Mytilus edulis: one gene and its partner. The protein of the gene in region 2 interacts with the protein of the main gene of each other region in a pairwise test. Links are inferred from orthologs where the notes say so. Each region holds a gene or a part of one and is shown on either strand. Other genes may lie near its edges.

The links.
Region 1: the proteins of dynamin-1-like (region 2) and NEDD4-like E3 ubiquitin-protein ligase WWP1 interact in binary tests that used the Caenorhabditis elegans proteins (3 or more experiments, as listed by UniProt). The link is inferred for Mytilus edulis from reciprocal best matches to the Caenorhabditis elegans genes dyn-1 and wwp-1.

The regions. Positions count from the first base shown.
Region 1 is NC_092348.1:11,609,348-11,615,191, forward strand, and holds the start of NEDD4-like E3 ubiquitin-protein ligase WWP1, read left to right. Parts: upstream 1-2,743; 5' UTR 2,744-2,830; intron 2,831-5,615; 5' UTR 5,616-5,639; coding exon 5,640-5,700; intron 5,701-5,844. Other genes in the region: RNA-binding protein NOB1-like, read right to left, coding at 2,446-2,514. UniProt on the Caenorhabditis elegans protein: E3 ubiquitin-protein ligase which accepts ubiquitin from an E2 ubiquitin-conjugating enzyme in the form of a thioester and then directly transfers the ubiquitin to targeted substrates. Ubiquitinates klf-1.
Region 2 is NC_092345.1:45,841,556-45,847,399, forward strand, and holds the start of dynamin-1-like, read right to left. Parts: upstream 3,721-5,844; 5' UTR 3,642-3,720; coding exon 3,478-3,641; intron 1-3,477.

The DNA.
Region 1 (5,844 bases), on a different chromosome or scaffold from region 2:
TGACCCGTACCTTGTAGGTCACCGCCGTCGTTTAAACACTTGACTACAGTCGTGTATAAGCTAGACAATAAAAAGCTTAAGCCTGTACTATTTGTGTGAAGTAAATGTGTTTGTTCTGAACATTTAAATTGTTTTACCTGATAGCAAGGACGTATATCTATCCGTTTCCTTCTCAATTCACTTTGTCAAATTCTTCGAGCTTCTTTAAAACATACGTATTACTGCGCCCGGAAGTGAAAAAAATATGAGAAATCCTCGTAAAATAATGCTATTTTCAATTTTGTGGAATCCATTTTGTTATATTAATTATACAAAGATAAAAAAAGTTACGATTAATTATGAATTTGCATATCATTATACGGAACGTTTATGGACTATTTTTTAAGTCGGTCATTTTGGCGGTAAATCATGTACACATACACACGTAGATTGGCTGGTACCCGATTGTAATGTTACACATCAAATATATCAAATAGCTAATACCCGGAACGTAGTACCGGGAACCAGGATAATACGTAGACAACATACATAACTAATACCGAAATTGAAAACGCTTTACGGTTTCTCGTTCATAAACCGAATTCCGCTTTGAATTATAGAAGGTGCAATATTAATCATGTTCAGTCGACTTTTCATTGTTATATCAACGTCTGAACTAATTAAAGAATCTTTAGATGTCAGATAACACTTGAAATTGACCCGACCTCTTTCCACACGGAATATACTAATAATGATAGTTTGTAGTCAGGTTGACTGCTTATAATGCAAAATACACACTAATAACAAGTTCTATAAAACGAACAATACACACTGATCGTTTCTTTAGTCCCCAATGTAAATGAAAGAAACAAAAACCATATCATACCATAAAAAGAAGAGGAGAAATTCGAACATTTCCGGATCTATTTCTGGCCAAAAGACCCCCAGCATAGATTGCGTATGAAAAGATGAACCTCATGACTTAAAAGTCAGGCCTTAAAGCACTGCCTTTAAAAATTACCTAATGAGAGCGTTTCTTTGTTTACATTGCATATGACATCATAACTTAAACAACGTCACAACTAAAATCCCTAACATCAGAACCAAAATCGGAAACGTTACGGTATTTCCGTTTTGAAATTAAAATATGTTTGAATAAAAAAAAAATCATAGACTTCGTCCCCTTTCACATGTAATGCCTGCCTCATTTACGGTAGAAAAATCAATAAAAAAAAAAGAATCGTGAAAATTTCCCGAATTTTTCAATATACTATAGAACTCAGGACTATAGGATTGGAACTCAATACCAATTCATTTTTAACCCTTTCAATGCTACACAAAAAAATAGACAATGGCTGCTGCTGCTGCATTTTTTTTTGTGTTCATTCATTAGAACAGTATATTCCTTTTCAGACTGCTGTATCTTTTTTATTATAAAAGATAAAGAGAAAGTTATAGCATGAAAAATGCTCAGGAGAGTATGAACTGTAATATTAGGCAGTTATTTCAGTAAAATTATTATCAGGTTACCTGCATTTTCAGGTAATTAACAGGTAATAGGTGTAATTTATTACATTTATGTTGAATTTTGAATCAAAACTACTTTTAGTCTTCATCTATTTTGTTGTTTTATCTGCCATATAATAAAGACGACACCAATTGCTCGATTCCGTAGCGTATTGCACCATACACAACATATTATGTAATCGTGGCACAAATCAGTGGCTTCGTCCTCAAAATTTTCAGTCAACCTCCGTTTTCCCCCCTTTTTCTTCGTCTCGTAATGATCGATCAAATCATATTTCATATAATGTCATCGCGGCATATGCTGTGTATAGCGTTGAAAGGGTTAATTAATTTATATAAAAAAAAGTTACCTGATGAAAGTGTTTCTTCGTTTACATTGAATAAGACGTCATAACTAAATAACATCACAACTAAATCCCTAACAATTAGTGTCATGTGTACTATTGTTTTTCTGTTTGTCTTTTTTATTTTTAGCCATGGCGTTGTCAGTTTGTTATAAATTTATGAGTTTGACTATCCCTTTGGTATCTTTCATCCCTGTTTTTTTAACAACAGAACCAAAATTGGAAACGTTACGGTATTTCCGTTTCTTTTAAAAACATGTTTGAATTAAAAAAAAATCATACAGACTTCGTCCTCATTTACAGGTAATGCCTCATATTACCTGATATGATATGTATGACTAGGAGTATGCCCATATGGCATGACAACCATACACTTGTGATCCAAATACTAATATTGTCCAGTATATTAAACAGTACTATAAGGCTTGAGAAGACTTTAACCGTCATAGGTAAGGCTATATATACTATAGTACAACTTTTAGTCAGGGGGTATAAGAAAAGGCACTTCACTAGTACTTTAACATACATGTGTGAAGTTGAAAAAAACAAACATCCTGGTAGATATCAATAAATGGTAATTGTGTATTGTTTGTACCTGTAATGGGGCATTTCGTATGAAAGCCCCAGCATCGGCTATCACATGCTTTACACTTTTTTGTGACATTTCTCATTTGCTGTCCACATGAGATTCAATGTCAAAAGGCAACTATTCTGATAGAGATTATTTGTCTTACTTTAAAGCGTTTATATGATTTTATTTTTTTTACAAAATATCTTAATTGAAAAAAATTAGAAAATGGTATTTATTGCAAAAATCATTTATTTTAAAGCACAGAAATTAGGAAAAAGTATAGAATATTTTGTAAAGATTGTAAAAACATATATGAATATAACAACTTTCGACGTCATTGATCACATGACCAATAAGAAATGGTGGACATCAAACTGTTTTGACAGTGCTCGTTCGTAACCAAATACAGGTCAATATTGTCAAAATGCGCATTGCAGGGATGCCCCAATACAAATTCTCACACATATCAAAAAGTTGTGTTTTAAAAATATATCAAATATTTCAGTTGAAAAAAAGAAAACATAGCAAATCGTCAAAGTTGTCACAGCAAACTTAACAACATCCTGCTTTACACACGACTTAAATATTTTATGTAAAATGTTGTCCTAAAAGTATTATCTGTTAATCATTGGACATGCACCATATGATCCTTTATTATCATGACTATTGAATAAATTGAGTTAAAACTATTCAGTATAGACTGTTTTCATGGTTTTGAAAGCTCTTTTTATTACATCATGTGACATAGTCGCATATTTCACAAGAATTATAATTACATATAGGTAAGATAGATTAAAAGACATTCTAATTTTGAAAAATCATGATTACAAAGGTATAGTTGTACAGTTTAAAATTTAAAATCTAAAGATTGCTTACATCGTTATCTATCAGCATGATCAGTAACATGTCTTTTGAAGGAAAAATAATGTTTTCCTGTAAATTATTATATTATGCATCACAACAAAATAATTTATATGGCACATCTTAAGAGTAAGTTGTGCAAATGTCATTAGGTTCAGTGATGTAAAATCAAAGAACAATCAAATCAGATATTGGTTATTTTTCATTCAACTTGCAAGACTCATTATTTTTTGTGTGGAAATATGCAAGCACATTTGGGCGAGCACATTTTTCAATGTTCCTGTAGCCTTAAATAAAAGGTTGGAGACAACCCGCCAAATGGGGAACAAATCAAATGAGTGACAACCCCTCATTTGAGAGTACTCATGTTACTGAAAGCTAGTTCAAAGTCCAAATACATTGTACATACATGTATCTACTAATGAAAATATAATATATCTTAGACTAAATACAGGGAAAATATCAACCAGTGTACATCCAACATCAAATAGATTTGGTGTTGAATGAGTTTCCTTTTACAATAAGTTTATTTAAAAGTATGGATAAGTATAAGGGATTGTATTTAGATTTACACAAATTAAACATCAGGGAAAACCTCACCATGAAAATTAGAATGTGCTTTGAACATGTTGAATGTGGAAAGAACTAGACAGATGTTAATGGTGGAGACAACAAATATCATACATGTACATGCATATAATATATATGGACCTTAAATACCTTTCTTTCATTGTCTTTTACTTGTACATGTAGTCAGCATTGTTGTCCCATTGATATTTTATACTCTCAATAGCTACATCTATTAATCATATTTTGATAATTAGTAAATAATATGGGGATGAAGTCCCCTATTACAGTTCTAGTAGAAAATTCAATAAAAAAAAATAAAAAAAAATCGGGAAAATTTCCCAAATTTTTTATTGTACGAATGAACTCAAAATCGTTCAATTTTATTTTTGTCACATTTTGAAATTCCAGATCTGCGCAGAAATCTACTTCTGTTTCCGGTCTTGTTTACAAGAGACTTTGAATAAAATGTATATTTATAATTTATCAGTCTAACATGTCTAAGAAAGGAACTAATACTAATTCATTTAAAAAAAAAATTATTGTTATTAAAATAACGTTACCTGATGACAGCGTTTCTTTGTTTACATTGAATATGACGTCACAACTAACAACAGAACCAAAATCGGAAACGTTATGGTATTTCCGTTTCTCTTTTTAACATTGTTGATTCAAAAGAAAAATCATAAACTTCGTCTCCATTCAGAGGTATTGCCTGCCTCATATTACATTCAAGAATATTTTGAATTATGGTTTTACCATGTTTACAATGTTTTAAGGACAATATTTTCATGATCTTGGAAAAGAAACAATATTTATTGATGAGGAAAAGTTGATTACATATTGACCTATAATGGTTTACTTTTATAAATTGTTATTTGGATGGAGAGTTGTCTCATTGGCACTCACACCACATCTTTCTTTATCTATGATATAAATAGACCACTTTCAAGTTTGTCTGTCACTGGAAAAAAACTCATCAATTATGCATGTCTTTATGACATGATTTACCAGATAGAGGGGATTGCCTGTATCCCTGCACTATTAGTGATCATCATTGTGCAGGATAAACTAGAAATATTGTTTGTTGGGTAGGTATTTAATCACAATTCCCTAATGACAGCAGTGCTGATTGTAAATTATCAAATCCAATTTGCCGAATAATTCGTGCAAGATAGACATGATAGAATCATAGTTTTCCAACCAATTGCTCAACATGGGAACTGAAGTGACAAGGCCCCTTAAAGCACACATGATGTTTTTGACAGAAATGCATCGAACTTGAAAGTTGTCTGTTGCATTGTCATACATGTTATAAGACTCCAATCTTTGGCCAGATGTATTGGAGTTTACAATTAACCAGAACAAATTGCATGTATGTTCCAAAAAATATTTTCATAGGAAACCATTTATATTATTAAAACACACAAACTACATTTATTTAAGTATAATGCATAAAAATCAAATGAATAGGGCCTGCATGTATCTATATACAGACAGCATAGTAAAACTGACAAATCTTAAGTGACCCGAAAAAGGCTGAAATCGAAAATCAGCTGTGTTCATGTTTACAAAAATTTACTTGTACAGTGCAATAAAAAACTAACAACTTTACCCTGTTTCTTGACATTCATGATTGAAAATTGGTAATACTTTTCTCTATAACATGTATAACTTGGTTGCCCATGAATATCATATGCTGACCTTCTGCATCTACAAATGAAAGTCTCTTGATCATATTTTTAAAATTATGAATTGTATTACAGGTGTACATGTGAGACTTCCAAATAATGGGAGAAGCAGCCTCTGCAGCACAAGGAAATGCTCAATTCTCACAGTTACAAGTAACTGGTAAATATTTTATACTATGTATTTTTGCCTGACCCTATATACATTATATATCTGTCAAAATATACAATGGTCAAATGAGTAGATACAAAATTTACATTGTGATTTAGTTAAAAATCATTCTCATGGTGACTTTTGACAAAGAAT
Region 2 (5,844 bases):
ATTGCAGGAAGACATTTTTTCTTAATTTATTTACAATGATACAAGGAACCTTCTGCTGCCATAAACTTTAAAAAAAAAATCAAAATTCTACAAGTAACTTTTTTTTTCAAAATTTTCTTTAAGTTAAAAGATGGTTACTATTTTTACATCATACATTGTACATCACATAAATATAATTGTGTTTAAAATTTAACTTACTAAAATGCTTCACTTACATTTGACTTACATGACTTACTCCTCAAGTTACTGGAACATTTAAATGTCATAATTACTATTAGTTTAAAGGTCAATGAATGACATAAATTGGGGTCAATTTAAAACAGCACTGTCTTGTTAGCTGCACATCTATTCCTGATAAATGATATTGAATTCACAAAAAAAGCTTATAGCAGTCTGCATCATTTATGCATGATGAGTTTAATTCTTACTTGAAAACATCATCTAGTCCAATAAAACTTTTAATTTGTTGAAAACAAATTGAAGAAGCAAAAGTATGATAAACATGATAATGCAAATACATTAATGATTATATTATAATAATTATAATCGGGATTAAATTATAATAAATTCCCAAAATAATATTGTAAGGTTATTAGCAGTCTGAATATAATGAGTTTAATTCTAGCTTGAAAACTTGAAAAAATCTAGTCCAATAAATCTTAATTAAACAGTTCAATATATAAACATGAAAAACAAAAAACTAACCAAGCCTGAATTTTTTTTATTAAAAAAACAAGTCAAATCATGACAATGTGCACGATTTTGACAGTTTCAAATATATATCTAAATGATAGTCTTACTTTCCTACAAAATTTTCCAGTACACTACTCTTTCCTGCACTTTGACATCCTACGACAGCAAACTGCGGTAAATCAAATGATAATGGTGTTCCTAAAGTAGTAAAAGCATCCTGCAACTTATTCACAATGGGAATAAGCTGTTCCATGCCTATATTTCCTGCCATTTTTTGTTACTGTGTCTTCTTTTTTTTTCTGAACAATTTACTTCATGATAGATATAGGACTTCTTTCACATGTCAGACCAGTATTCAAAATTATATTTGAAAAACTCTTTTGACTTAAATACTCAAAGGAAGTGTGCATCATTTTTAGAAGTCATTTCTATAAATATTACAAACAAATGTATTTTCATTGTTTTAAATGAAAACTATTGTATGTCTTACATGTCTTATATATAAATATGAGTTCATATATGAGGTTGTTCTATTTTTAGCTTTTAAAAAACCCTGGACACATTAACCTACAGAAATTACATTATGTTCCGCATGAGTATTTTTTTTAGTGTAAATATACATGATATATATACCAATTCCATTTATATTTCCAAAATTTGCTTAAATGCCTTAGAGAATGACCAACTGTCAGATGTATACGGAAATGAGACAACAACCCAACAAAACAGAAAGAATTGTGATTACATTAATTATTCAATTAACAATGATAAATGCATATATGTATTCTGTCTGTATGAGAAAAAATATCAGAAAAAGATACTGGTCTAACTTTAAGTCTTCTTTTCAAATCTGTAATGTTTTCCTTTAATAACTCTACCTTTCCGAATATTTTTCTTTCTATAAGATCATTCATCTGACAAAGTCTTAACTCTCTTGACCACAGACCTGACAGACCAGACACATGTTTGATGACACTGCGTTATACAAATATCTAAAGTGTAGCTATCATCAAATTATCTCAAACCAAACTATTTCAAAGCTTTTTGATTAATTAACCAGAATTGTTACATTGGAACTTCTTTTATTATTTAATATCCTGGAGAAATGAAGACTTTTAGAGCAAATGCAATATGAACTGCATTATAAATTAATATTTCTAAGGTTTAAAAAATTACGGATCATCACCTTTTAGCAAAATTGTCAACATGGTCAAAGACATTGCAAATATAGACCTGTCCTATGGTTTAAGTTTCATAAAATTCTGGCAAGATTTTAAAACCAAAAAGTAATGATTCAATTATCCATTTATGAACTTTTCAAAGAGACATAACTCTTTTAAAAAGAATTAATTGACTCTGATTTAGTTATAGACCTCACCAAGTCATTGCTGATTTAAACCTATATTATGATATGTTTCATAAAAATCTAGCAAGAATTGAACACATGAGAGCACTAACAATTTAATTTTCCATATAATTATTTTTTTCCAAGAAGCATTACTCATTTGTACAAGACTTTACTAATATAAACCTATGATATAAGTATTATAAAACTCTGGCAAGAATTGTACATGTGAGAGTGCTAACAACATAAACAATACCAGACAAAGGCACAGACAGTTGAACAGATGGAAGCCTGGTGTTTCTATGTCCCCTGCAGCATGTTGCACAGGGCAGTGGCGGATCCAGAAATTTTCATAAGTGGTGGCCCACTGACTGCCTAAGAGGGGGCCCGCTCCAGTCATGCTTCAGTGATTCCCTACATAATCAAACATTTTTTTCCCAGAAAAGGGGGGGGGCCTGGGGCCACTGACAAAACCCTTTTAAATCCGCCTCTGTGGGGGACAACAAAATGAAATGCACATATAATAGATGAAATTAAATATTAATATGTTTAAATGTATTCTTCATGAATGCTCTTACTTCCTGATCTTTAATTAACTTCATGGTACATGTAAGTAGAAATGTTTCTACACTTTTAAAAAATAATTCAAACTATCTGAAATTTAAGATACATGTATGCTTCAGAGGATGTGGGGTACCGGTACTGTATGGGTGACTGGTCTCGATATTTTGAAATGTACTTATAGATTACAGATACATCTCAAAGAGATTAATTTCCTCGCTTGAGCCGGTACAGCGAAAATGAGAACAGCAATCAAATTGAGATGACCAATAAGTTTATAACAATCTGTTTATTGCTATTTTACCTATGAAGACGTTGTCTATTTCATGTCAGTTTCATTAGCAACGCCATATGCATGTGACCCCTTAGTTACTAGCGATAATTTTCATATCACTCGACTCTGCTGAGAAAGGAAATAATCATTCAGCAAGATCAAAGGAAAATTTCGTAAAATAGCAATAATATGAAATATACAAATATGTACCTAAGGTACAGAGTTGTCATACTCTAGACCGTTTCAGCTTATTTTATATTTGGAAAGTACTAGTGGTCCAACCTATCATTCGGTTTCACTTTGTAGTGTGTGTTTATATCACTAGAAGCTAAAAATTTTTACAAAATATTCTTGAAATTCATTTGAAATTTTGTGTATTCATTTTAGATTATTTTACATGAAAAGAGTGAAAAGTAAACAAATTATAACCCGATTTACGCCCCCTTGTCTGAGCCTTTCTGTATGTTTATTTATTAAGTGCTTGTGTAATTCTTTTGGTAGGAAAATAAACAGATGATATGAGTTATATTCATAATGTGTATTGCTGACAAAAGACTGTCATTACCACTGACAGCAACCTCTGATCAATTGATGATTATCTTACTTTCCTACGAAATTTTCCAGTACACTACTTTTTCCTGCACTTTGACTTCCTACAACGGCGATTTGAGGTAAATCTAAAGATAGGGGTGTTCCTAGAGATGAAAAGGCATCCTGCAGCTTATTCACAATGGGAATAAGCTGCTCCATGCCAACATTTCCTGACATTTTCGTTACTTCCGTCTGTCTATCCTTCTGAATAGTTTACTTCATGGCGGACAAATGATTATGCGAAGGCCGCTTATATCATTTCATAATAATAACAGATAAGCTCCACTGATATCATAAATCAAAAGGATGCCTGGAGCGTTTTGAATAATTTTACTTCATTACGTTGAAAATGTGTAACGTAATGTATTTTTTTCGATTGAAATACATTTTATTTTCTTATTTGAAAAAGTCAAGGGAGGCTACTCTATTTCAAAACTATTTCCTAAAAACGATGACACATTTACACACGGATATTACCTGAATTATTACTCATTTATTATTTTTAATGACACGATATATGAGAAATCTAAAATCTTTTATTTTGAATAGTATCCACTTAATACCATATTTGGTTATAGCAATACAGACACAAAACAAAAAGAAACTAAACAGGAAAAAAATGGAGATTCCGTGACCTAAAATTTTATATTTTTTACCTTTTCTTAAGCTGACTAAGCTTGGTATATTGAACATCTTTCAGTTTCTATTAGAATACAATAATCGTTTATTCTTATTTGTATCACATTTTTCTTGCTTCTTAGTTTAGTGAGATGAGAAGATTCCATATGTTTATTTATATTAGATTTAAGAAATATAATCATTTATAATTTCTATTTAGGATCTCAGAGTTCAGGTTACTAGAATAGATATAGGAAGATGTGGTATGAGTGCCAATGAAACAACCAGTCTCTCCATCTAAATAACAATTTATAAAAGTAAAGCATTACAGGTCAATGTACGGCCTTCAACACGGAGCCTTGTACAGCAAGTAATTTTTTTCACTTTAAAAGAGTTTCACTGTTTGAATATATATCCCCCTTTTACTGAGAGCTGTAAATTACGATTGTAAAAATTTTGATATGAATGTATTGATGATAGAATTTTTTTAAACTTACTTATCTTGCCTATGAAATGTTAACGACCTTAATTTCAATATTACCCTCTACACTTGACATTTAAGAAATTTTGTCAGCCGGATTTTTTTTAATTCTGATTTTCCTATCTTTTACGCAATATTTTGTTTTAGATACAATAACTTTATCATCTGCATATAATGGGTGCATTTTACTTTGCACTTCTCTGTCAGAAAAGCTTCCAGTTCATCAAGAAAAAAAAATACCAAAAAGGAGATAAATCACGTATTCACTGACTTGTGTCAGTAACATGTTATAATAGTGCACATGGAACTCAACAGGATCCAGAATTGCAAATTGGAAAACCAATATCTGCTACTAAATATTTGTTGAACATATTTTGGGTGCAGGTATAAATTAAATATTGTTAGTCTTTGACGAGTCGTTAAAATTTGTTCTTTCAATCGATTATTGTTCTTGCTCCATGCAACGCCATATATATCAATTGTCATGAAACTTTGCTCAAATGGTCAGGTTGACCTCATATGAAAGTCGTGCAAGTTTGAAGTAGTTATCAAAGGTACCAGGATTATAATTTAATACGCCAGACGCGCGTTTCGTCTACATACGACTCATCAGTAACGCTCAGATTAACATAGTTGTAAAGCCAAAGGTAGCACTCCACAGTTAGAAAATAAAATTAAAAATGAGCCCCAAAATGTTTTATCATCTCCTATTCCTGGATTTCTAATACATTAACCTAACTGTTTGTGTTGTACATGTGCATATGTGTGTAATCAGTATCTTCCATAGATTCAATTTTCCAAAGTTAAAAGGGTGAAAATTAATTCCTTTTATGTGTATCCATGGCAACATTCAGCATTTATTTACCATAAAATATTGCAAAAAGGGGGGTGAACATGTCATATATCCCCCCAAAATTTGGATCAAACTAGAATTTCAATGCCTTTGAGTGATACCTTTTTAGAAACTGTTTTCTTAAATCTTCCTAATGATCAAATAAAAAATGGGTGTCTTTCGCCTCATTTTTTCGTAAAATCCAATCACAAAGTTCGTGCGATAAAAAGTTGGAAAAAAACATTATAATAATTGCCGGACCAATGTATGGGTTGGACATGCAAATACGGACTGTCATACAGAAAACAGCCTATATTACATACATTACATAACCTTGATGTTCATATAAACCCAATACAAAGGCTATTTTAATACTCAGCTATCCAAAAATGAATTTTATTGCACACTAGCTCTCATATTTAAAAAATCCACAGGGGCCAAAATGCGAA